Linked DNA regions of Drosophila melanogaster. The protein of the gene in region 1 interacts with the protein of each later gene in a pairwise test. Each region holds a gene or a part of one and is shown in the gene's direction. Other genes may lie near its edges.

Region 1 (6,224 bases):
GATCAGCGAACGGGAGGTGTGCCATCGGGATCCGGTTAACTCGGTGCTTTGGAACAATTCCAAGAGTGGCACAGAGTTCTTCTCCGGCGGTTCCGATGGTCAGGTGCTGTGGTGGGATACCAGGAAGCTTACCGAACCGCTGGACCGCCTGCTCATGGATCCGGTGAAGAGTGACGATCAGGATCTCTCCAGATCCTATGGAATATCAGTGCTAGAGTACGAGACCACCATACCTACAAGATTCATGGCGGGAACTGAGATGGGCATGCTCTTCTCCTGCAATCGAAAGGGCAAGACGCCCACGGAGAAGATTCAGATACGGGTATGCTCTTTGGCTTTAATCACAGGACATTTCCTATTGATTGTGTTGCAATCCCGCAGATGATGTGCCACCTCGGCCCGGTGTATGCCATTACCCGAAATCCGGCGTTTGTTAAGAATTTCCTAACTGTGGGCGACTGGTGTGCCCGAATCTGGTCGGAGGATTGCAGAGAGAGCTCCATCATCTGGACCAAGAGCAGCAGCTCGATGCTGACCGATGGCGCTTGGAGTTACACGAAGTGAGTATTCATTCAAGCTAAGGTTATTCAACGTAATCTACATAATCAATTCTAGAGTCTCCCAGTTCTTTATCACTCGCATGGATGGCGTCTTGGACACCTGGGATCTGCTGCAGCAGCAGAACGAGCCCGTTCTCACGGTCAAGGTGTGCGATGAACCTCTTTATTGTGTCCGGACCAACGAGAACGGGAAATTCGTGAGCTGTGGCAGCCAGCTGGGAGCCACTTTTCTCGTCGAAGTCTCCGACAACATGGTCATGTCAGCCAAGAACGACAAACCCCTACTAACAGCCGTAAGACTCCATTGGGAATCCAGCATTCTAGAATCTTGAGTCACATTTTCCATATGCAGATGTTCGAGCGCGAGAACCGTCGCGAGAAGATCCTGGAGGCCAAGTCCCGGGAAAGCAAGCTGAAAGTCAAGGCCAACCATGGCCAGGATCAGGGGGACACAATGATGGTCAACGGAAAGATCAACATGGCTCCGTTTGAAGCAGCTTGCGAGCAAGCTGCCTCGGAATACTTTGCGGCCGTGGAACAGGAACGCCAAAGGCGGCTGCCAGGCGGAAAGCGTAGGTGAACGAAGGCGGTTTAGAAATGTATACCCCTATTACGGGAGTATCCACTAATTTGTGTTCTTTAATCTTCCATTTCAGAGGATGCGGAGGAGGCTGATGTGTCCGAGGCGGAGAGTTCGAAGCTGTAAATCCCAAACGGAACTATGTCCTTTTTTTGTTAAATCTAAAGTACAAGTTAAAGGGAATTTGTATAGGAAATAAAAATATAGTAACCACTTTTTAAAAAACTAATTAATTCAGCATAAGAGGTAAAATTTAAAACGTCGTGTGCTTTTCAACACTTTTTAGTTTCAGTGTTGGATAAAACTGCTTCTAGTTCTTTGCTCATCTCGGAGTCAGTTCCAGCTGGGGCTCACAAGTTCACGAGCCAATTGGTTCAATCAGCTGTTGTCATTCGACATTCGCACGCGGGATTGGAAAGAAATAACTAAAACGTTTTTAAAGCACGCTTAAAGATCAAAAATTGTAAGTAACTTATAAGACACACAGAAGCATATTCAAACACAAATCAATAGACGGTGCTATTGAGAACGGCAACGGCGAAGCAACAATTTCGCATCAGCTGTGCGAGTAACGTGCCAGAAATACACTTGGCTACAAGTTCAAGGGCCGAAGACCAACCATAATCTGTGCCAAGTGATATAATAGTTGTTTCCGAGTGCGAATTAACAAATCCAGCGCTAGAGTTTATGTCAGCTACTTGCAAGCGAGGTACTTTCTAAAAATTCAAAGTTCTGCAATTGGCGGGGATCAGGTAGCCAAAGTAACCCGTTGCGTGTTGCATGGTGTGCGGCCTACGTGACTCAGAAACAGTTATCAATGGCGCAACACATACGGAAAGTTCAGTGACCAAAATTTGTGCAGCAGCCAAACGGCAAACGCAACCCCTGAAACTCAGACGGCGTCTAACGTCCAACTGATAAAGGTATCGAACGATCCGAGTTCTACTATTAAATATTAGTGTTTATTTAACTAAACAAATACAACGGGTAAGACAAAGGCCAACCAGTGAAGTTGCTATAGTTATGTTTAAACATAGTGGTAAACATTTGCTGTTTAAATAGTTTTCGTGCTAGTTTTAAATCAGTCTGTGCATTGTTCGAAATTAATTTCAATATTTTAAACAATATTACTTTCACCATTAACAACAACTAAATATGTTTACATACTACGCTATTTACTATAAAGTAGAACGCCAGTTTGTTTTGCCATTTTATTGCCAATTGTTAATTCAGACCTTGATGGCGCTCCGATTTGAAAGTGCCTGTTCCAAAGTGTTTCCCCAAGGTGGGGCTGCCCATTAAGTGATTCACCCACCTGACGTGGGCTAATTATAAGAATTCGGGTTTTGCTTTTCCGGTTTGCTGCAATCGAAGGGGGCCGGACCTCGTCCTCCCATTCCATGCTATTCAGCAGCAGTCACGTACGCCAGTCGCATCATCCAAATCCAGTTCAAGCAATGCGCTGTGGTGTCTTTGTTTATTGTTTATTTAGTGAGCCGTTCGCCGCACAAACAAATTTTAATACGATTCCATAATTTCTAATAATCAAAACAATCTTGACCTTAACGTGTCTAGTTCATATATGAATGGAATTATATAGTATTTAAAATATATTTTTTAACAAATACATTGAGGTGGTTTAAGGTGGATTAAGCAGGCGAATGGAACAACAAAATTAAATAAAAAACATATTGATTAAAACCAATTAGGTTTGAAAAAATACGATTACAAATATTCCCATTATTCTATGTTCTTGCAGCACCATGTTGGACGTGATCCAACCCAGCAGCAACCTCCCGACCAGCGAAAGCACCGATATTGTGGTGGTCCGAGCCAGACCAAAGAAGGTGTTCAAGCCAAAGGCGCGCATCAATCGGATTCCCCAGGAGCTGCTCGATGATCCACTGCTGCAGCAGGCCATCGACCGTCTGCCCTCGAACTACAACTTCGAGATGCACAAGACGATTTGGCGCATACGGGAGATGAAGGCCAAGCGTGTGGCCCTGCAACTGCCGGAGGGCCTGCTGATGTACGCCATGGTTATCAGCGACATTGTGGAGCGATTCACCAGCGCAGATACTGTGATAATGGGCGATGTGACTTACGGAGCTTGCTGCGTGGACGACTACACTGCCAAGGCGTTGGGAGCTGATCTGCTGGTCCACTACGGCCACAGCTGCCTCATTCCCGTAGATCAGACGTGTGGCATCAAGGTGCTGTACATTTTTGTAGACATCAAAATCGATCCGCTGCACTTCCTGGACTCTGTAAAGCTGAACTTCCGCCCGGAAGTGGGCCAAATAGCTTTAGTAAGCACAATACAGTTCGTGACAACGCTGCAAGCTGCATCTACTGAGCTAAAGGCAGCCGGCTATGATGTGATAGTACCACAGGCCAAGCCACTTAGTCCTGGAGAGATTCTTGGGTGCACTTCGCCTCAGCTGCCAGAGACAACGAAGATGATAATATATTTGGGTGACGGGCGTTTTCATCTAGAATCCGCAATGATAGCAAACCCGTTGCTAAAGGTATGCAGTGTGTTTTAAAACGAATTCTTCATTTACTTATATAATATATTTATGTTTATTTTAGGCTTACAAGTACGATCCCTATGAAAAGAAGTTCACCACAGAGCAGTACGATCACTCGGCGATGCAGAATCTGCGCCTGGACGCTGTTCAGCGGGCTAAGAAGGCGCGCCGCATTGGCATCATACTTGGAACACTCGGAAGACAAGGCAGTTCAAGAGTGCATCGGTTTTTGGAGAAGCGACTTCATGCCAAGGGTATTGAAACTACCACATTATTGCTGTCGGAGATCTTCCCACAGAAATTGGCTCTTTTCGCCGACATCGACGCCTTTGTGCAGATTGCTTGTCCGCGACTTTCAATCGACTGGGGATCCGCATTTAGCCAACCGTTGCTGAATCCTTACGAGCTGTCCGTGGTTTTGGGCGATGTCGAGTGGACGCCGCACAACTCGTCGCCGCGCAACAACGCCTATCCCATGGACTTCTACGCTAGCGGCAGCCTGGGACCCTGGACTCCCAACTTCAAGCCACCAGCGATAGGAGAGTGCGAGAACAAGCCCTCGGCTGACTGTTGTGGAAGATGCACGCGAGCGGAATTGGAGAAGGACGATTCCGGCAAGGCAGCGGCTCTGGACGATCTTCTCGACTTTAAGAAGGGATAAGCGATTTGACCGGCTCGCTTCCAACTGCCCACGGAGCCCTCCATCTCAATCGATCAGCCACGATCGCCTGCCCAAATATATTGATTACCTACTAATTTAGTTAGTACAAATTTGGTTTTTAAGTTCTTACTTTAAGGGCATCTTTTGTGTTCATCACAGATAGGTTCATAATTTTTATGTTCGCAAACACTTTTCTAACAGAGATGCAATTGTTAATTAGCAGCAACAATGTACAGAATTTTAAACATTAAAATAATGTTTAAAACGAAACCTGAATATTTCAATATTGAAAGGCTCTTTAGGAATATTTTATTAAAAACTAATAAATATAAAATCATTTTTCTAGAGACATATGTTCTCGAATACTTAAAATTATGTTTATCTGAATAATATTTTCGGCTTCTTTTTCAAATTTTTGTTACCTTTTATGAAAATAGTCCAGTGCAAAGAACCCCCCAATTTGTGCAAATTTCCTTTTTTGGTTCTTATAAATTTCATTCTCTATTGCAAAAAAATCAAAAATATTTAAAATATATACAATTTATTTTAAAAATTTACTAAATTATGTACACTTGAACTAAAAATTTTACTAAATTTGTTAAATTATCTATAGTTTGTTTGTATATACATTTGGTCTATTGAATTGACTAAAAATTGGCTAAGGTAAATATGTACAATTGCACTACTTAGACTAAATTGGCTAACTAACTAGGTATATACAATTGTGTTGATGATGTATATATACAATCGAAATGTGACATTAACTAAAATGTACAATTGATCTATACAATTAACTAGAATTTACAATTGTCTAAATTCGGCTAATATGCTGACACTGCATGGTCTTCAAGATTGGATCCTTATGGTTGCTCCCAGGATGTGTGGTGTTCCACGTCGCTCTCGTTCTTTGATTCTTCAGAGATCCAGCGCCGGATACGTGAAGCTCCGCCAGGAGCTGACGTCGGTCCGCGATGGATGTTGTCGGTCGGAGAACATCGCTTGCAGTGCAGGTCGATTTCAAAACGACCACTGGTTTATATACTCCTACAGGTAGACAAAGTGTGAATTCAACTGGATAAGAGTCCTTTGCCTGCTGTAATGACTTCGACCTTGGCAAAAAAACTACCACACCGCGATTACCCAAAAATTTCCAGGAAAGATAAGCGCGAACACCTTCAAAACATTTTTGAATACCCGCTGATTTTGTGGAAAGTGCTCAAGTCGATAGAGAGAAAGGAAAAAGGTGTGGGTAAGTAGGTAGACAAAAATGTTGAAGGATTTTGCCCAAGACTCGACGTCTGTATTCCATATGTTTAGTAAAAGGCTTTCCTAAGCTACCAGATTAAATACAAATTTTTAGCTTATATGAAAACACACACATTTTTTTTCATAATTCATAATTTTTAATTCTGTTGGATTCAGATACTGATTTGATAATATATTATTACGCTTGATGTCAGCTTTTAATAACTGGTCAGTCGTTTATGTTTACGTAGATATCTGGTCTTTTTCAAAACTGAGATTTCCTCTAAAACAATAAAAACGTTACTCAAGGAACAAACCAAAACCTCAAACCAACTTTTCTGCTTTTAACAACACCTTGGAGTTGTTTTTCTGCGAGTTCTTCCTCTGATCTTTTTATTGTGTCCTTGAGATTACGCATTTCAGCCTTTATCTTCTGGTATTCGTCTTTGAGGAAAAATACCTCACGCTTTAAGGAGCATCTAAGGACGAATAAGAAATTTATGACTTATCAAATGTCACATAACATGTATTAAAGTCTTACATTTCGAGCTCCAAGTGCTTCACATAACTGTCGCCTTCCGAATCGATTATCTCCACATGATCCTTGGCATTTGACTGCGGGTTAAGAGGATCCAATATTTCTACTT
Region 2 (5,137 bases), 2.0 Mb from region 1:
AAGCAAACATAATAAAGAAAACAATGCCGCGTAAAGCATTTTGTAACGACAAACAGTTAAATTGATTATGAACGCGCCCAGATTGTTTGCCATATGTACGAAAAATTAGCACTTTGGCCCACAAGCACGGGCACTTTCCATTTGTACAATATTGGTTTGCTGAATTAGTTAACTGCTTTTATTGCAATTGGCGAATTACATCACGCCCACCGCATAACTAGGAGTTGCTACTACGAAAATGATCGACTGGCACGCGATTCGAGAAGGCGAACCAAACACGCGACCGGAACGCACTTTACACCCGCTAAAAAAGAATTGGGAACGCACTTGATTTTTGTTGGACCCAAGTGGGCTATATAAACCTATTTCTCTGCACTCGGATTTTGAATCGGACTAGTGTGTTTTCCCTTTGGCTTTTGGTACTGTGTGCCTTGACGGCGGGCAAACAAATGAGAATGAGAATGAAAATGAAAATGGGCTGATGTACGAGCGTTTGGAGCCCGAACTTATGCAATTTCGCACAGGTGATGGTAACGACGACTCGACATTTGACTTTGGATGGCTGGCGGAATTTTCTAATTTTGCCACACTGCGCTACAAAATCCGTTGGATAACTGCCAGGTGGTGCTGATGGTGGTAGCGATGGTAGTGGTGGTGCTGCTGCTGAAAGAGCAGCAAAACCAAATGGAAATAAAATCCCAACACACCCATTGTGACGCCAGACGTTTGTTTTGCTTTTCTTCCTCTTTCGGCGCTGAATGTCATTATCAAGGTTTATTTGGCACTCTGTTTTTCCCGCCTTTTTTTTTTTTTTTTGGTTGCGATTGTGAATGAAAAGCGTAGAAGTGAGTGGGCGGGTTTGTTTTTGGGGGAAATATTGAGATAGGGCCAAATCGGATCGCGTACCGGCTTAAATCGGCGGTAAATCAATCTCGGAATTGCTGTGTGCCAAATAAAAAGTAGAAGGAAAAAGGGAAAACGTTGAGACCATAAATTAAAGAAGACAAAGGATGAGATGTAAACTGCATTATGTCAACGGTGGGCAAAGACTTATTTGTTTCAGACAAATACTAGATTATTTATTGCACAGCTTGTGTTCATTACCTTTGGCATGCAAAAAAGCATAAGATAGTCATGCAATCATTTTTGCATATATCTTTAGTCATTAAATTTTAAACTTAGTTTTGTCGCAACTCTTTATATATGTATGCTTATATGTGTTCTCAAGTGCTTCTAATAAAACTAATGGTTCCCTAGCGACAAAGCCGCAAAGCAAGCATTTAAGTTTTTCGATTGAAGCCAGAAGCAAACATATGTATGTATGTATGTACGTATATTTGTAGCTTTATATTCCTTTGTTGCAAAATTTGCGATACCCAAGTGTAAACAAAGAACCCAAAATTAGAATGAAAATCCCACTTTGATCTAAATCAAGAGCAGAGGTAAATATTTTCATAGACGCCCAAACTTACCGGCGACTCTCTGTGAAGATATTGTACATACATATAAGCACTTAGAAGCCCTTAAGATAGAAGTTTTTCAAAGTAAACAAACCGTTTCCTGTGCACTAAGAACTTGCACCACTGTGGTACAGTGAATCAAAACCATAAATTGTTCAATTTGATTAGGTGTGCAAGTGCGAGCAGGAGAAAGAGAGTAGGCGAGAGAGAGAGAGAGAGAGAGAGAGATGACGAGTGCGTGTGGATGGCCGGCAATCAAAGTGAATCATCACTTAACAAATGAGGAAGACAAAGCAAACAAACAAATGGATAACGGATAAACAGATGCAGAAGAGGTGAAGTGTGTGAAGGTCCAAGTGGGAGGGGCGGGAGAGAACAAAGGAGGCGAGGCAGTGAGTGAAATGCAGTGAGATAACACACACACACACACAACAGCGCACACAGTCAAACAATTAGTGGGCGTGTGCAATTAGCAACAAAAGCATAAAACTAAGAACAAGTGCAGTTAATCGCAAGAGTTGCGCGATGCAAAAGGGAAAATCGAGAAAATCACGCAGAAGGCTCTTTAAATCCCATAAATAGCCACTTATGCAGCTGAAAACTAAGAAGAGACGACAAATTGCGAAATAACTCACCTGCAACACCTGCTTCCAAACCAAACAAATCGTCCTGCAGCTCTAATTGATCCATTGCAATCGAATACAATCCGTAATTAAAAATTGATGGCTAAAAACAATACGCGTCTGCAAAAGTTGCAGCTGCGGCCATTTTTTGCTTGCCCAGCCTGGAATTCCAGCTTTTAATCACGTTTCACTTTTTAAACACTCAAAGAACACTTCTATCATTCTTTGACACAAATGCACACGAAAAAAACACTATTTCCAATTTGATTTAGCCAATTTTAGGAACGTTTTTTACTGCAAATGTTGGACGAAAATTTACGCGTAGCGAAGAAGCAGAAAATTATAAAGCAGCTGATTTTTGTTTTGACCAGGGCTACGTTAGAAACTTGCCAATCGATAGGCGATTGTACGTTACGTTTTTCATTACGTTGCACTATCGGCGCTCAGCTGTTTTGCCCCGGCAATGACGTCACGCGTGAACACTCAATTTCTTGTATTTTGATTGGTATTATCAAATTAGTATATCGCATTTATCTGCAAATACTTGACTAAACATAAATAAACGCGCACTAATCAGGGCGCGACCATGTCGCCGGCGATTGCAACGTGTGCTTAAAGGCCTAACACAATGGCCTAAAACAATCAGAAGTCGGCGAGGCGCAAAGAAGCAAAAAAGGAAGAATCGCTTGGAAAGTTTATAACTAAAAGTAAGTAAAAGGAATTAACAGTATTAATTTGACAAATGAAGCTGTTACCTGTATTAGTTGTGACTTTTAACTCTACTCTTTAGATATAGTTACAAATGCTTCCTAAATTGGAACGTACGCCAATTATATTGGCTTAACTACAACACTCATTAAATCTTTTTCAAGTGCCTGTCCTTTTAACACAAATGTAATTGCATTGAATATTTTAATATATGAAATTTACGAATCACACGAAAAACCCATAATTCCCAGTACTTTAAAATTAAAGAACTGTCTTAGTAAGATAACATTCATGGCCACGTCTTATGTATAGCTCTTACTATCTTAAACAAAAGATTTAGTATCTGTGTTTAAATACCTCGCTGAATTATACGTAAACAAACCAGTTCTCCATAAGAAAATTCATAGTAATCCTCACACGCCACCATTGCAGATATCAAAATGGAAGTGCCAGTACATCCACTTAGCCAGGATCCCACGGCCGCTTGGAGGGAGATTAGCAAAACGCAGCGCGTGATCAAGGTGACAATGAAGCCACCGACCACCACGGTGGCGCCCAACAAGGCACGAGTGGTTTGCATGTCCGACACGCACTCCCTGACGCCCTACATCAAGTTCGATATACCAGATGGCGATATATTCATACATGCCGGCGATTTTACCAAGTGCGGCCAACTGGAGGAGGTGGAGGAGTTTAACACCTGGATTGGAGCACTGCCCCATCGCCACAAGATCGTGATTGCTGGCAATCATGAGCTCAGCTTCGATAGAACCTTCACCCATCCTTTCCAGAAGAGCAAAAGTCATGCTTCGAGCAGCAAACACACCGGCATGTCCATCCTCGATGATCTGCCCACTTTGGGCAACGCCAAGGAGAACTTGGAGAGCGCTGTGCAAACGCAGAATGTCCGCGATGTTCTGACCAACTGTCGGTATTTGGAGGATGAACTACTTGAGATTTGGGGTATTCAAATATATGGCTCGCCATGGCAACCGGAATTCTGTCGCTGGGCCTTTAATGTTCCACGTGGAACTGCCTGTTTGGATAAGTGGAATCAAATCCCGGAAGGCATCGATATCCTGGTCACCCACACGCCGCCCGTGGGTCACGGCGATCTCTGCTGTTCCGGCGTACGAGCCGGTTGTGTGGAGCTACTCAGCACAGTGCAGCAACGAGTGCGCCCGAAATACCATGTCTTCGGACATGTACACGAAGGCTACGGCATCACCAGCGATGGCAGGATCATCTTTGTGAATGCCTCAACGTGTGACATCAACTACCTACCCAACAATGCCCCCATCGTTTTCGATGTGACGCTGCCCCCCGGATTTCGCAAGGATTAGCATGCCTAGATGATTATTTATTGTGTCACAGGTTCAATGAATTTATTTTCGTCCCACTTTATGTTTATGTTAAGGTATTTCGTCTGTAAAGATTTTGAAGCACAATTGTAGGTGTCTAGAGAGATAGAATTCAATTCGCACGAAATTAAAAAAAGAAATTCACACTTAAGATGCCATAAAATATTTATTCAAGTAGAGTGCATTTGTCAATATATGAATTTGTAAAAATAAACAAGTTTTGAAGACACCTAAACTTTTGAAGATTTTCAATATGATATTATATAGTTTTTAATAATAATTTAAGTAAAGGTAAAGCAAATCCTGAGATACATACATACTATTTCAAATTAGTATCGATAAGCCGCCAGAAATGGGTTGGAAAAACCTTGGAATGATTATTGGTTAGCAGCCCTGTCTCCCAATTTGACATTCCTCTTTGGCGCTCTGTAACGGCGCTTTTCCAGTGACTCCCCAATCAGCGAACCAACTAACCTGAGGCTGCACTTTTCGCGTGGCGACCAAAAAAATTATAAAAAAAAGGTCCCGCATTAGATTTTAATTTGTATACACCCAATTTTAGTCCAGCAAAAAAAAACTAATAAAATGGTGAGAAGAAGAAAAACTAATTAGTTTAAGAATTGCTGAAAGCGGGAAGTGAAATTTAAAATCAGAAAAGATGTGTAAGAAGATGTGAAATGAAAAGGTGTGGGAAGTGAACATGAATAAATGTTCATTGAAAATGAACAGCTAATTGCGAATTTTTTGAAACTTAACTGTTAACTGTTACTGCTCACAAATCCTTGAAAAATATTAAGATCTTAGAATTGTTTATTTAAAATGAATTCCTCGTATGTATTATAACAGACAATCAAGTTTATTAAAGAATATTTAAACTTGTATTTTTTTTTGAGTTTGATAAAATGTCCCAATTATAAAAGAGTATTACCTTTTCGTCATATAATACTGTTCTTAATATTAGTTTTAGTTAGTAATGTGTTTGTAA
Region 3 (4,838 bases), on another chromosome or scaffold:
TAGTTGTGGCCTTTAATATTCGAATGGATTCTAGTCCTCTACTCGTAGGACAAATATTGTCAAAGAATTAATAGCATTTTCACAGCTTAGACATTATTTTTCCCAAGAGCAACCTATGTACGTGTGTATATGTAAAGAGCATGAGCAACCTACCAAGCGTGGTTTGGTATAGAAATGGCAAGACTTGAAATTTAGAGCGGGGTTAAGGGACAGCATATATAAATCATAAAATCCATGGGCCTGGTGGTCATCTACTTACTTTCGCCCTGGCGCGGCACAAACAGATTGTGAAAGTGATTGATGATCTGGCGAGCATAGAGATTGGCATCCTCGCATATCGGCTTCGGTACACTGATCCTGGGCTGCGGATGCAGCGCCGTCAGCCACTCGCAGTACACATTCACGCAATCCTTGATCGTCTCGTGTTCCTGCAGAGGAAGCGAAAGTCCGAAGCAGATCACGTCCATGCACCATTTTACCTAGAATCGAATCGAGTTATTGTAAGTAATCTGAGTTATCTAAGTTTCAACATTTTCCATTCCAAGGAAAACTCGTATTTTTCTATGAGAACATTCCAAGCATTCTATAAATAGCAATTCTACATTAAACCAACAAACAACAATTATATTTCGTTTCCAGATTGAGGTAATATAAATTGAGTTTGCATTCATTCATTTGGCAATTACATGCACAATTTTATGGATTTAATGGAAGCTTTTCCAGAACATTACTAATACATTATTTCACTCATTAAACTAATGCTTTGTTGGACATGTGTGTAAGCAATGTTTTTGCAAGTCTTAAAGTTAAGAAAATTGTATGAAGAAAGTTTAACTTCCGGTTTAAGATTCAATTTGATATAAGATATACTATTTCGTTTTAGGCATTTTAAGGATACTACTTTGCTTCTCATAAAAAATAAGCAGATTTCCTGAAATCTAAAATCCCTTCCTGACCATATAATATATAGTATTGACTATAGTATATAATATAGAAGTAATTGTAATAAAACATTTATCTAACAATTATCTTTACAGCTTTCTACACGAGTAGCCTGCTTTATAGTAAACCATCCCGTGTGGGACAGCTACGATGACCCACCTCTTCGTCTTTGACCAGGTGACTGGGCTCTGCATTCTGCGTGATGCCCAGATTGGTGCCCAGCTGCTTGACCACGGAGACGACCACTTCGCGTCCGGCGGAGGCGGGGAATTTGTTGAGCACACTGAAGCACTGGGCGCCGCAGCTGTTGGCTGTGATTTGGGCAGACAGCGAGGCCCACTCGGAGTACATCCTGGTGTGGTGAGGAGTCCAAGGACTCTAGGGATCCTGGGGACTCTGCTGCTCCTGATGATCCTGGGGATCGTGGTAATCCTCCTCCTCCTCGATGCTTCCTATTCACCCGATAATCCGTATGGCGGTCCCTTCTCTGCGATCGCTACGATTTCTTGATCGGATTTCACTTTGTTGACGTCAACATGAAGAATTTAGGTGCAGGTGCGCCATGTTGTTGTTGTTGTTGTTGACTTGCTAATTGACCGCTCTCATGTTGCAAAATGCGAAGTTCCCCAAATGTTTATGTTGTCTCGCACTTCCCGCCCCTTTTATTTGTTTTTGTTTACAACTACGATTCGATTACACCGCCATTAAAGACCTATTTTTGCGATTTGTTTAATACAATAAAAAAAAAAAATAGAAATCCACAGCGAAAAGCGAGCGAGCGAGATGGAGCGATGTAAACAGCTGTGTTTTTTAGTACTTGGGCGGGACTATCGGCGCCTATCGACAATCGATATTGCAAGTGTTGATTAATGCTAAGCAAATTTATAACAGTTATAAAATTTAAACACATTTAAATATATTAATAATATGCTTTGCATCTAATTATCTATGAATGAAACTTAAACAAAAGCCCTTCATTGTTTTCCATTTTTCGTATGATATTTATTTTTCTGGGAGAAAGTGGCCTTAAACAATAGATTTACATAAATGTTTATTAAACAAAAAAGGTAAACTACCAAAAGACTCTCGAACATCAAAAGAAATTCGCTCAAAAGCATTAGGGCAATTAAACAGCGAAATTAAAGAGAGATTAGTTGTGTAAAAGATTATAGCATAATTAAAAACTAATAATGTTACTTTTCACATTGCCAAAATATTTTGTATGAGAAAACCAAAAGCAAACAATTTTTGTGTTTTTGCGCTATTTGTGTTGAGGAAGCTTCACTGAAATTTGCATAAATTTGCATTATTTTCGGTGAACCGAAAATCATAATGGGCGTGGACAATGGGCTCATAAATTGAGTTTAGCCAAAAATAGAAAAAGCCAAAAAAAAAACGAAGACAGTAAACCCAGCACAAAGTTTATGAAGCAATGAAGCAATTTGCACAAGAATTCATCAAAGGTGCGGAAATTCGCCAGGTGAGATGATCACCTGTCGCAAAAGGAACAACGTCCTCATTGTTTTGGCGATTTGAAAGGCGTCTCAAATAAGTTATGACTTCGGCACGCATTGTTCGATCGTCTCTGGTAAATCTGGCAAATATCAATGATAATGGCATCCCAAAATCAATATCTAAACAATTAAACGAACCCCGCACAAAATTTGCATCCGTATACGTTCTTTTTGGCCAGTTTTATTGCTCCACTTTTCAGATTCTTGACACTACGGGTATATAAGATCATCGTAACCGGCGACAGATCAGCACAAATTGTCCAGTCCTCCAAGCACAACTTACTCAAAAAGAACAAAGTTTGGAAACATGAAGGTGAGTTGAAGGTCGCAAGGATACGAAACAAAGGATAGCTGACCAAATTGTGAATGTACGATAACGAAACAAATACAAATACAAGTTCAAGGTTTCAAGTTTTTTTTTTTATGTGAAAATAAGTAGAATGTTGAATTATAAAAACAGTAATAATAAAAAAAAAAAACAGTGTGCATCAGCAAAATTTGTGAAGAAAAAGTGATCTTAATTGTGTTCTGGTTTTTTTTATCGTCTGCAGTCTGAAATTTTTTTAATGTGTTGCCCATAAAAATGGCTTTTAATTTGAAAATCACCTAAATTGTTTACATTTTAATGTTGCAATAAATAAATTATACACTTTTTATGAACGTGCACAAAAGGTGCATTTAAAATGTATAACAAATGTTAATTTAGTATAAATATATTATAGATGTATATAAAAATCTTATAGATTGTTAGATTGCAAGATACTTAGAAGGTTAGGTAGTTACATAGTTAGATTCTTAAATCGTTTGATAGCAAGATAGCAAGATAGTAAGATACTTAGATAGTTAGATACATAGAAAGTTACATAGTTAGATACTTAGATAGTTAGATAATATCAATAAAATATGTGGACATTTTTAGTTCCTTTTTGCTAGATCCTCTAATCTAAACTATCCTCAATTTTGTGTTTGCTTTTAACTGACCATTTCCGATTCTTAACATCCCTGCAGTTCTTCATCGCCGCCTTCCTGATCGCCGCCTGCATGGCCCTCGCCCAGTGCAGTGTCATCTACTCGCCGGTGTCCTCCGTTCCGGTGGTCCGTTCCGTGCCCGTTATTCGCTCCGTTCCGGTGGTGCGCAGTGTGCCTGTGGTCCGCCGTGTGCCGGTGGTTCGCCGTGTCAATGTGGTCGAGTCCGTTCCAGTGGTGCCCTCGGTGGTGCGCGTTGGACAGGCCCCCATCTACGATGCTCCACTGGTGCAGTCCTATGGTGGATGGTTGAAGCAGAAGTAGATGGATGCCACGAGAAAGGATACCACTACATGTACTTTTGATGTGAAATAAACTTTGAATAGAACGAACAAATATATACTAGCAAAACTCAAATATATCGTTTTAAATATTTATGTATATAAGTTAAAAGTTATATTGAACTGAAGATTTGAGCCAAACTTGTTTCGAGATTGCAGATGCACTAATATAGATATTTATGTATGTATGTATGTAGTTTCTCAACAGATGCATTCCATGCATGGATCAATTAACAAACCATAATAGACCGCGACAAGATCATAATCACGATTAGTGGCAGAGTGCAGGTTAGCCAACCATTTCTTGGATATTACTTGATTTCCCACCAATCTGATCTGCCCACTGAAAATCTCTTTTTTTTTTGGTATAAATTAATACGTTTCTTAACCGAAAAGCATAACCAATTTGAACAATTTGATAGTATTTTATAAAATTGTTATAAACTGAGTAGAAATATGATTCTAAATGGATATATATATATATGCACATCAGTTGATTATGTTGAATATTTGTGTAAATAAACATATGTTTATTGTTGTAAGTATGTAATACTTAGTGGCTATTTAAAATGCGCCAACAGATATCACTGATCCGAACCGTTGGCCAATTTTACAACATCTTTGGCCTATTGGGCCAACATAATGCGTTTTACATGGCTCGAAGATGCGACTGGTGGCTTGCATAATAATCGGCTCGTTTTATAAATACCTGCATATAGATGGAATATAGCCACCATCAATGAGATGGTTCGGCTTGACAACAGATTCCGATTCAGATTCACCTTGAAATTGCCGGATGAGGTGAAATGGAATGGGTTGGTTTGGTTTCGATTGGATTGGATTGGGTTGGGTTGGGTTAGGTTTTCGCTTTGGTTTATGACAGACTGCCGGCCGCCTTGTGAGGCAACCGCTTTGCAGCACGCCCGTGTATGCAAATTGAATTGACCAAAATCCAAAATCCAAATCGAAATCAAAATCAAAATGAAAACGAAAACCTAAACCATAAAACATAAGATGCCGAATAAAAAAAAAAATACGAAATATGAAAGCCCCATTCCGAGCTTATCACTAACGT
Region 4 (8,708 bases), on another chromosome or scaffold:
TGGCCGTGTCAATGGCCAACCGGTTGCTTCGGCAGACTGCCGTGCTGCTGCTGCTGGCTGATTTATTCAATTGGCTAACATTTAGCCAAATTGCCCGTCAACACCCCCGAATTAAAAAAAGAATAAAAATAGAGAAGAAAAAACGGGCTCAGAACGCGCGATTCATTTGGACTCTTTGTTTGGCTTGGCATTTTCTTGCGTATTTTTAGCCAGAACCAAGCCATTTTGACCATAATATTTGTACAATAAATTTCATTTAATTAGTTTTTTGGCTCGCAGCCGGTTTGAAACGCAATAAGATTAATCGCCAGCGCCGATAAGCGCCTTCGTCACAGGCCGACAAAATGTCAGAGAGTGAAAAACAAAATATAAATGCTTATCAGCGACTTGCGTCTATTTGCCGATCGGTGAATTTCAGATTCGACCGGATCCTAACGGTATACCATATAATACCATTATTCCGGCAACGTTCCAGACACACAAACTAATGCAAATTAAATGGCTAATCCGTTGGCAGCTTCCTCGGAAATTATTAGTTGTCAGGCGGTTGAAAGACAAAGCCGATTATGATACCCAGAAATCCTGATAGCACACTCATTCATTATTCATTCATGAAAAGTTTTTTCTGTGAAATCAGTTTGGCTTGGAATCGGAAATGCATATGTTCTAATTGGGTGAGGTATGCTACACGGCTGGGCGTTGACTTCCGCGAAGGAATACGACTCATCCAGGTGCTAAGTGGGCCAAGATGGGCTGCAGCAATTGAATCACAAATGCCAATCGCCGACTGGCGCCCACCAAAGGTGAGAAAGGTGGGCACGTTCCGGCTGTCTGGGAAAGTGATATTTTCATTTCCCAACAAAACACATCCATCCTGACCAATCGCATTCGCATTCGCATTCGCTGTTTGCCCTTTCACTTTGAGCCGGAAAGGCGTACGTCATGCATAATTTAGGTGCCTGATACCCGCTGGTGGTAATTAGCACTCGGCTGACTTCGTCACTGTGCTCTAATTTGATTTCGTTACTAATTAATCGCGCTTTTTCCCCAAAAAAAAACATGGAAATTTTCGCCAATCCAATGGGTAACATTTGTGATAGGCGGTTTGTTAAATGCGTTTATTGGTTTCACAATGTATTTGCAACATTGTTTTTAAATTTACGCGCCCCACTGCGAATGCCTTGATTCGATTTCGAAATTGGCAGTGCGGCCAGATCGTTGGAAATCGGTAAGCAAGCTTTCACTCAAAAAAATGTTGAGCGACTTTTGGCATTCAACTCATGTCAATAAATTATACATTCAACGAGTGACTTTATCGCCGGATTGAGTTACAAATTGAATTATGCCGCCAATCTAGATCATTAAGACATTTTATTCCAGAATTTTGTATTATTTTGCAGGGTTATAAAAATTTAAGTTTACCAAATCCTAAAAATGCTAAAAGTCAATGACACACATGTTTGGAGTTAACTAATTATGGCCGACCAATTGTAGTTGACCACGACAGTTTTAAAATTTTCACATTTTATCGTATGTAATAAAAATTTTTTTCAAATATTATTTTCATTATGTTTATTATTATTTATTTATTTGTAATTTATATATGTTACATATATAAATGCCTGAAATTCACATTGCAAAAAAAATAAATTTGGGCATTATTACAAGTTGAAAATATCAAATTCCCAGAAATCAATAACATTAGTATAACACAATAACACTTACGTTATCGAATTGGAATAACATTCAATAACGATCGCTGGCAGCAATTTCGAAATTAACCGTTTAACCGATTGGACGTATACAGCACAATGTTAGCGGCCGTCTGTTTGCTAACAGCGGGCGATAACAGGCGAAGAGAAGCCACTGTTAAGTAGACCATCTAAAACAGTTTCCAGAGCTGTGCCAACAACAAAACACAAAATCACTCAACTCTTACGAATATTGGTAAAAATTTATAAGACGTTTTAAAAACTTAATTAAAGTGCGACTGCCGGCAACTGAACCGTGTTCGCACCGAAAATTCGCGTCGCGTTGCTCCTATCGTGCGGTTCTAGCTGGATTATCAACAAATGCCAAAATTTCGTCAAAGCGAATAAAAATCATATATGTATACATAATACCTGCGCCTGTGTGTGTGTACCACTCGGTGTGTGCGTTTGTGTTTGTGTATGTGTGTGTGTGTAAGACCGATCTCTCAAGCGAAATCACTTAGCGGCGTTGTGTGTGTGTTCGAGTCTTCGCAAATAAAAACCACATTTTCTTAATATTTAACTAATATTTCGCACAACGGTTGAAAGAAAAACGACAACATTGGCATTGAAGTTCACCGAAAAAAAAGTAAAGTGAAGCCGAAATTTCCTTATCAGTAGAGCGCAAATGGTGAGCGAGAGAGGGATGACGAGGGAGAGAGAGGGGGCGAAAACTGGTGCAACAATAACTATGTATTTTAGACCCAAATATACAGCTCGTAATACCTCGTAATACCTTTCACAATTCTGGACACTCTCTTTCTACCCAGTTTTGTGACTGTGTCGCTTATTATTGTTGTTTCGCTTGTCTCGCGATTAGAATTAATTGACAAATGCCAGCAACAAAATACATTGTATTCGGGTTCTTTTTTGCGGTATATGTATATTTTTCGGGCAAAAAAAATGCACTGACAGAAAAGTGGTAGCACTTTAGATAGGAGAGAATAGTGGACACACGCCAACTAACGCGACAGTAGATAACCAGTACAGCGTTCACAGTCAAGCTCGAATAAGAGCAACAGGATGCACGAACGAAGCCGCAAAACGGAGACGGCGAGCAGCGTCACTGAATAACATGAATAAGTCATAACTAGTGTTGGCCTTTGCCGTTCTGCGATTGGTTAGACATAAAAACGGAGTATGTACGAAAACATTAAACGCGGTTCAACGACCGCCGCCATCTACATACATACATACATATGTAGTTGTCCATGTATATGTTTCGGTTTTCGGTTCTCGGAGATAGAAAAGCATAGCGGAGCATATAGCCAGACTTCTTCCATTAGCGCACCTGTCACACCAGTCTTTATCGCCAGTTTTGGGGTTATCTAGAAAAGGCAACAGGTATGAAATCAGGTAAGGCCCTCCCTCTCTCTCTCACGCACTCGCACTCTCCCTCTCACGCTACGATCTGTGTGAACTATCGCGTGGGGACACAAGGACATATCGATACGTGACATGCAGACGATCGATAACCAAAAAAAAAACACCCCTTCACTTCCAGCTGGTGCAACTAACGGTTTCGATTACCCGGAATATTAGAGGAATACGCAAATAACCGTAAAATCCAGCTAAATGTCATATGTACGCCAGCTGAAGCGGCAGAAAATGTCCCAGGCGAAGAAGTTCGGCGATGGCGATCCGTTCAACTACCAGGAGCTCAACATCATCGGCGAAGGTGAGCGACTTGGGTGGGATTTAATAATGGGACGCGGTTGCTTTGTTGTTGGGATAGGTCCGGCTCTCTTCGCACGAGAGGCTTTCGTTTGCTGGTCGCTTGTTGTTAACGTTTGATTACTTTAATTTGCTTACAAAGTCTGGGCTATTTGGTTTCACTACTGTTTACGATCAATCGGGAGCTCCGACATTGTTATGAAGCTGAAATGACAAGTGCACTTGGAGGAATGTTGTTGTTTTTTTACCCCTTTACTAATTAAGCGTGGAAATTCCGCGAAAAGGGGAAATATTGGATGGAAAACTCCCCTGTATTGGATCCTACACCTTCTACCTGCATACTTTTAGGTCCACTCTCGGCGGACTACGTGTTTCTGCCGATCTCACATCCATGATGATCTGACAAGTGGCTCATGGTCTTTTTTTTTTGTGGTCAGTAATTACGATCGCTTGTTTGCTGTAAATAAAGCCCAAATCAATTACGTCACCGATCATGCCGATCATCATGGGCAGGCGAATGCTAATGATGGATATTGTTACTGGGTGTTGTGCGAGTCATGGGTCCGCACAATTTCATCTGTTATACAACGCACACACACACACATACACTCAAACTTTCGGCTGTCTGCCTTTCTGTGCACATTCATTCAATTATTATTCGCTTTCGCTCAGTCTCATTTTTGCTACTTTGTACTATGGAAAATTTGACCACTTTTTGTGGCCAAACTAACTCCAAACTTTTTTTGCATTGCCTTACACTAGCCCATATTTTTAATGATATATAATATATATTTTTTAGTTTGCAGATAGTCATTCAATTAACTTTTTTGCATTGCCTAACAGTAGTCACCGTTGTAACTAAATGCATGCATTTAATATTACATATATTAATCGGTTTTCGGCCAGATAAAGTGCGTAAATTTCCCATAGTGCTTTGCTTTGTTGTTTTCTTTGCGCAATTTTTCGAGTTTATTTTGCTTGTATATTTGTATATTTTTTTGACAATTCCAATTGGACAGACCAGTTGCCGACGTTCAAAAACGAGTCGAGCTCACGGCCTTGTACTTGAATGTAGCAACAGCGGCACAGTTCATAAGCCAGGTGGTCTAGAGACGGTGACAAAGGGACGGAAAACCAAATTCACCCCCCCCCCCCCTCAAGTTGCGTTTATTTCGGGTGTATCAGTACATATCTGCTGTTTCTGTATGTCAGTGTCAACCGAAATAGCCGGTGCCTTCTAGCTTTTCTACCCCCCACGCATGTCCGTCCGTCCGTCCGTTTGTCCATTTGTCCATTTGTCCGTACGGGTGATAAATTTTCGGTGACATTTCTCTGGCATGCCAGAATTTGATTCTGATTGGGAATTTTGCTCGTCTCTTGTCGTTTTTCTTTGCCCGTGAACATGTAGAAATTAAGATCACGTTGTACCTGAGACAGCAACAGTTTCATGAGGAAATTAGTCTGAATTTCGTGCAATATTTTGACTAATTTTGAGTGCATATAATATAGTCTCTAATATATGCAATTATTGCATGCATTGCAATACGATTCTTTTGGGCTAAATGCATTCATTGTCTATTCATTCAATCATTATAAACAGTTAGTTCATCGAACAAGGCAAATAAATCAAGTCACTTCAATCGTAAGGGCTATAAATACGATGTTGAATATGAAAAGTATAAATACACCATAATGATATGAAGAAGCTAAGTGGCACCTTCTCTCTTTCTCTCGCCTCTCTGATTTCTGCCATTTATCTTATCGGCACAGCTGACTTTATTTTATTCTATTTTCGGCTGTCTTTCGCATTTATTTCCCGTTGTAAGCATTTTGATGTACAATTTCGATCCACTTTTCAGGTGCCTATGGAACGGTTTACAGAGCCCGCGATGTGATCACCGGCAACATAGTGGCGCTGAAGAAGGTTAGGATATCGCTGAACGAGAACGGTGTGCCAATGTCCACGCTGCGGGAGATTTCGCTGCTGAAGCAGCTGAATGCCAGCAATCATGCGAATATTGTCAAGTGAGTATGGGTGATTTACACGCTGCCACAAGGGCAGTGGGCTTCTAAATGGCCTTGGAGTTGAGTACTTTATGTAGAACTATAGCTAGCTAGCTGTATATGAGGGGTGTTATCACCCGCCATTGGGGCCAAGTGGCGGCGCCAAAGCTATTTGCCAAACTCATTTGTAAAGAGCCGCATCGCAATGTCAGCGCGCTTGTGTTTATCTGTGCATGCTATAGCCGTAATATTCCGACGATTTGCCCCCGGCGAACGCCCTCGCTTCTGACATATGCCAGTCAAGTCAAGTAAGTCTGAAGCAAGTCGATCCGCTCCCGCTGATAACTGATCACTGCAGTTCGCAAATGTGGGCGATTTTGTATTGGCATTATGTTTGTTTGCGGCGGCCGTTAGGAATTTGAATTAACAGAGCAGCTCGATAACCACATGTTGCTGTCGCGCGTTATCGATGTGCGCACTCGCTTGCACTTTAGCAGCGTGAGAGCGCGACGCGAATACAGTACAAAGAGATCGACAGAGAGAGAGAGAGAGAGAGAGATCTCGCACAACAGAATGTTAAGTTAAGTTGCAAATGGCTACAAAGTGCAGCTGTTATTTTGTTTGAAGCCAAAAGTGTTGGAGGGGTACAAGAAATAAATCAATGGCAAATTAAGTTTCTTGTATTTATCTGTATTTTTAAAAACCCAATGTGCCAGTTGCTAAAGCAAGTGTAACAGTAGAAGGTTTCAATAAAACTGTGCCTTTTAAGTAATTCAAAGGCAATGTTAAAATAACTGCCCGAACTGATTCTAACATAATGCTAACATAACATAATGCTAATCTGCTCTGCTAACGTTTACGTTTTGCCTCTGTCCGAAAACGATCTGTAGCCTCTCTTACTGGACGCTCTCTTTGGCTCTTTGATCGCCATGTGCGCATGTGTTTGTCTCGAGTGCTTCGCGTAGTTCCCGAAACGAACAAAGTATGGCCAATGGCGTATTGGCGCACCACAACCAGCAGCATTTTATGACACATTTTTTTTATATCTCTCAACATTTCCCCCATACATCGCTCTCTGTCGCACACAAAATCAAACAATTTGTACATACAAAGATTGCACTTCCCCTCTCTTTCAGACTGTACGAAGTATGCCAGTTTCTGGAGCGCGACGGCCAATTGCTGATTCTGTTGGTTTTCGAACATGTGGAGCAGGATCTTTCGGATCTTATAGACAGACTTCCCAAATCGGGCATGTCGCCGCCCACAATTCAGGTGGGTCTCAAAATGATATCAAAATTTCAGAAAATGGTATATGAAATTATTTCCTATTGCAGCGCTTGTCAAGGGAACTACTGACCGGTGTGGACTTCTTACACTCACACCGTATCATCCATCGGGATCTTAAGCCGCAAAACCTGCTGGTCTCCTCGCAGGGCCACCTCAAGATCGCCGACTTTGGCTTGGCCAAGACCTACGGTTCGGAGATGAAGCTCACCTCCGTGGTGGTCACCTTGTGGTACCGCGCACCCGAGGTTCTGCTCGCCCAGCCCTACAACAGCACCGTGGACATCTGGAGTGCCGCCTGCATCATCTTCGAGATGTTCAATCGGCGCGCCCTATTCCCGGGCACCTCCGAAAAGAATCAGCTGGACCGCATCTTCGAGTGAGTGCACAAATACTGCCATTGAAATCGGTGATTTTTAATTACATTTATGCGATTTCACGCAGACTGACCGGTAGACCCACCGAGCAACAGTGGCCACAGACCATTTCCGTGGCCCTGGAACACTTTCCCCAGCGGCATCCAAAGAGACCAAAAGACTTTTGCCCACACCTGTGCAAGTACGCCGATGATCTGTTGAATGTGAGTATGAAAATGAAGATACATATCTTGTTGCATGGTCTAGACTAACGCATACCCTATGTTTGCCCGCAGAAAATGCTTTCCTACGACCTCCACCTGCGACCATCCGCCTTGGCCTGTTTGGAGCACGATTACTTTCAGCAGGAACCCCTATAGTCTCGATGCCCAGAAGGATAATGGATAATGGATTATGGATTATGGATTATGGATTATGGATGTGGAAGTGAAAGTGGCAGTGGACTGATCATTGCGGCCGCGCTTCGTTCTTGTTACCAATGTTCCTTTAAGTGTAGTGAAGCATTTTGTTTATTTTTTCGCGACAGTCCAGTTATTGTGTCCGGGGATACGGATCCGGAATAAAGAATACCTTAATTTGTTTGTAGTCGTAAGTTAAGTGTGAATACTACTGCCGATCAACTATCTGATGACCATTACATGTGAAACGATTCTCGAGGGCGTTTGAAGGCCCTCCAAATCGAAATGTGATACACAAAGTTCAGGAATGCATTATACAATTTCAAAATTTTGTACAACAATCATTTATATATGCAATTATATATACAGCATACAATAAGATGGGTCTCATGTCTTTTCTGCAATTTATTTCAAGTGGGGGTGCAACTTAAATTTAAAGTGTTTTTGAAGAATAATAAATATCTCATATTAAACATATTTTCGAAAAAAATTTATTTTTTATACAGCTTTTTCGAGTTTTATTACAGTTTTATATTTATGTGTACAAATAACAGTTAAGTTCTGCTGTTAAAACGATGGTCATGTTAATCATCGATAGCCAGCTGTTAACTTTTACGCATCCCTAGTTCCTTCTCTTAGCTTACGATCACTCTCATTTTGCTCTCTTTCCAGCACTTAACAGTATGTTAGACCTCGCCTAACAGAACCGTTTCAAATGGTGTGACCGCCTACTGCAAGAGCAAAGTGCTTCCCACTATTACGATAGCCAAGTTTGAAACCCAGTGTTGCAACTGATAACATTTCCATGCTGTAAGAAAGGTCATATTATTAAGCTAATATAAATACTTTTTGATGTTGTAAATATAAAAAAAACACACCAAATTGTTCAAAAATCAATAATATTGCTCTAATTTTTATTTAAAAGCAAAATTGAAAATAATATTTGAATTTATCGTTTCATTAGGGGTATTGCTAGATAAGGATGTGGTATACTTTGGTATATATAAGTATGAGCTGGTATTTTCGAGCCTCGACCGCGCGGCCACACTGACTTCCGCCTCTTTTTCGACGACAACTTGCAAAGGAAAGTTGTGTTTTTCGTACATTTTGCCAATTCACGTTTCGTGTCAAGAACCCAAGACTTAAACATGCGTTACGTGGCTGCTTACCTTCTGGCCGTCCTCGGTGGCAAGGACTCGCCCGCCAACAGCGATCTGGAG

What was found.
Region 2: the proteins of Dph1 (region 1) and CG16717 interact in a two-hybrid assay, tested with the Drosophila melanogaster proteins (one large-scale study listed by BioGRID).
Region 3: the proteins of Dph1 (region 1) and CG15308 interact in a two-hybrid assay, tested with the Drosophila melanogaster proteins (one large-scale study listed by BioGRID).
Region 4: the proteins of Dph1 (region 1) and Cdk4 interact in a two-hybrid assay, tested with the Drosophila melanogaster proteins (one large-scale study listed by BioGRID).

The regions. Positions count from the first base shown.
Region 1 is NT_037436.4:11,692,254-11,698,477, reverse strand, and holds Dph1 (diphthamide biosynthesis 1), read left to right. Parts: upstream 1-1,514; 5' UTR 1,515-1,603; intron 1,604-1,979; exon of another isoform or gene 1,980-2,127; intron 2,128-2,899; 5' UTR 2,900-2,903; coding exon 2,904-3,668; intron 3,669-3,732; coding exon 3,733-4,332; 3' UTR 4,333-4,599; downstream 4,600-6,224. Other genes in the region: Dnai2 (dynein, axonemal, intermediate chain 2), read left to right, coding at 1-322, 382-560, 616-853, 913-1,132, 1,217-1,266; CG14135 (uncharacterized protein), read right to left, coding at 5,882-6,056, 6,119-6,224.
Region 2 is NT_037436.4:9,676,677-9,681,813, forward strand, and holds CG16717 (uncharacterized protein), read left to right. Parts: upstream 1-2,524; 5' UTR 2,525-2,790; intron 2,791-3,223; 5' UTR 3,224-3,231; coding exon 3,232-4,134; 3' UTR 4,135-4,384; downstream 4,385-5,137. Other genes in the region: fry (furry), read right to left, coding at 2,096-2,150; alphaTub67C (alpha-Tubulin at 67C), read left to right, coding at 4,738-4,740.
Region 3 is NC_004354.4:10,217,004-10,221,841, reverse strand, and holds CG15308 (uncharacterized protein), read left to right. Parts: upstream 1-2,702; 5' UTR 2,703-2,763; coding exon 2,764-2,769; exon of another isoform or gene 2,770-3,105; intron 3,106-3,438; exon of another isoform or gene 3,439-3,464; coding exon 3,465-3,746; 3' UTR 3,747-3,929; downstream 3,930-4,838. Other genes in the region: CG34408 (uncharacterized protein), read right to left, coding at 154-183, 260-479, 1,102-1,293.
Region 4 is NT_033778.4:16,577,587-16,586,294, forward strand, and holds Cdk4 (Cyclin-dependent kinase 4), read left to right. Parts: upstream 1-1,883; 5' UTR 1,884-1,947; intron 1,948-1,977; exon of another isoform or gene 1,978-2,340; intron 2,341-2,519; exon of another isoform or gene 2,520-3,107; intron 3,108-3,246; exon of another isoform or gene 3,247-3,255; 5' UTR 3,256-3,326; coding exon 3,327-3,429; intron 3,430-4,409; exon of another isoform or gene 4,410-5,284; coding exon 5,285-5,450; exon of another isoform or gene 5,451-5,783; intron 5,784-6,565; coding exon 6,566-6,701; intron 6,702-6,763; coding exon 6,764-7,092; intron 7,093-7,157; coding exon 7,158-7,293; intron 7,294-7,365; coding exon 7,366-7,449; 3' UTR 7,450-7,862; downstream 7,863-8,708. Other genes in the region: RpLP2 (ribosomal protein LP2), read left to right, coding at 8,637-8,708.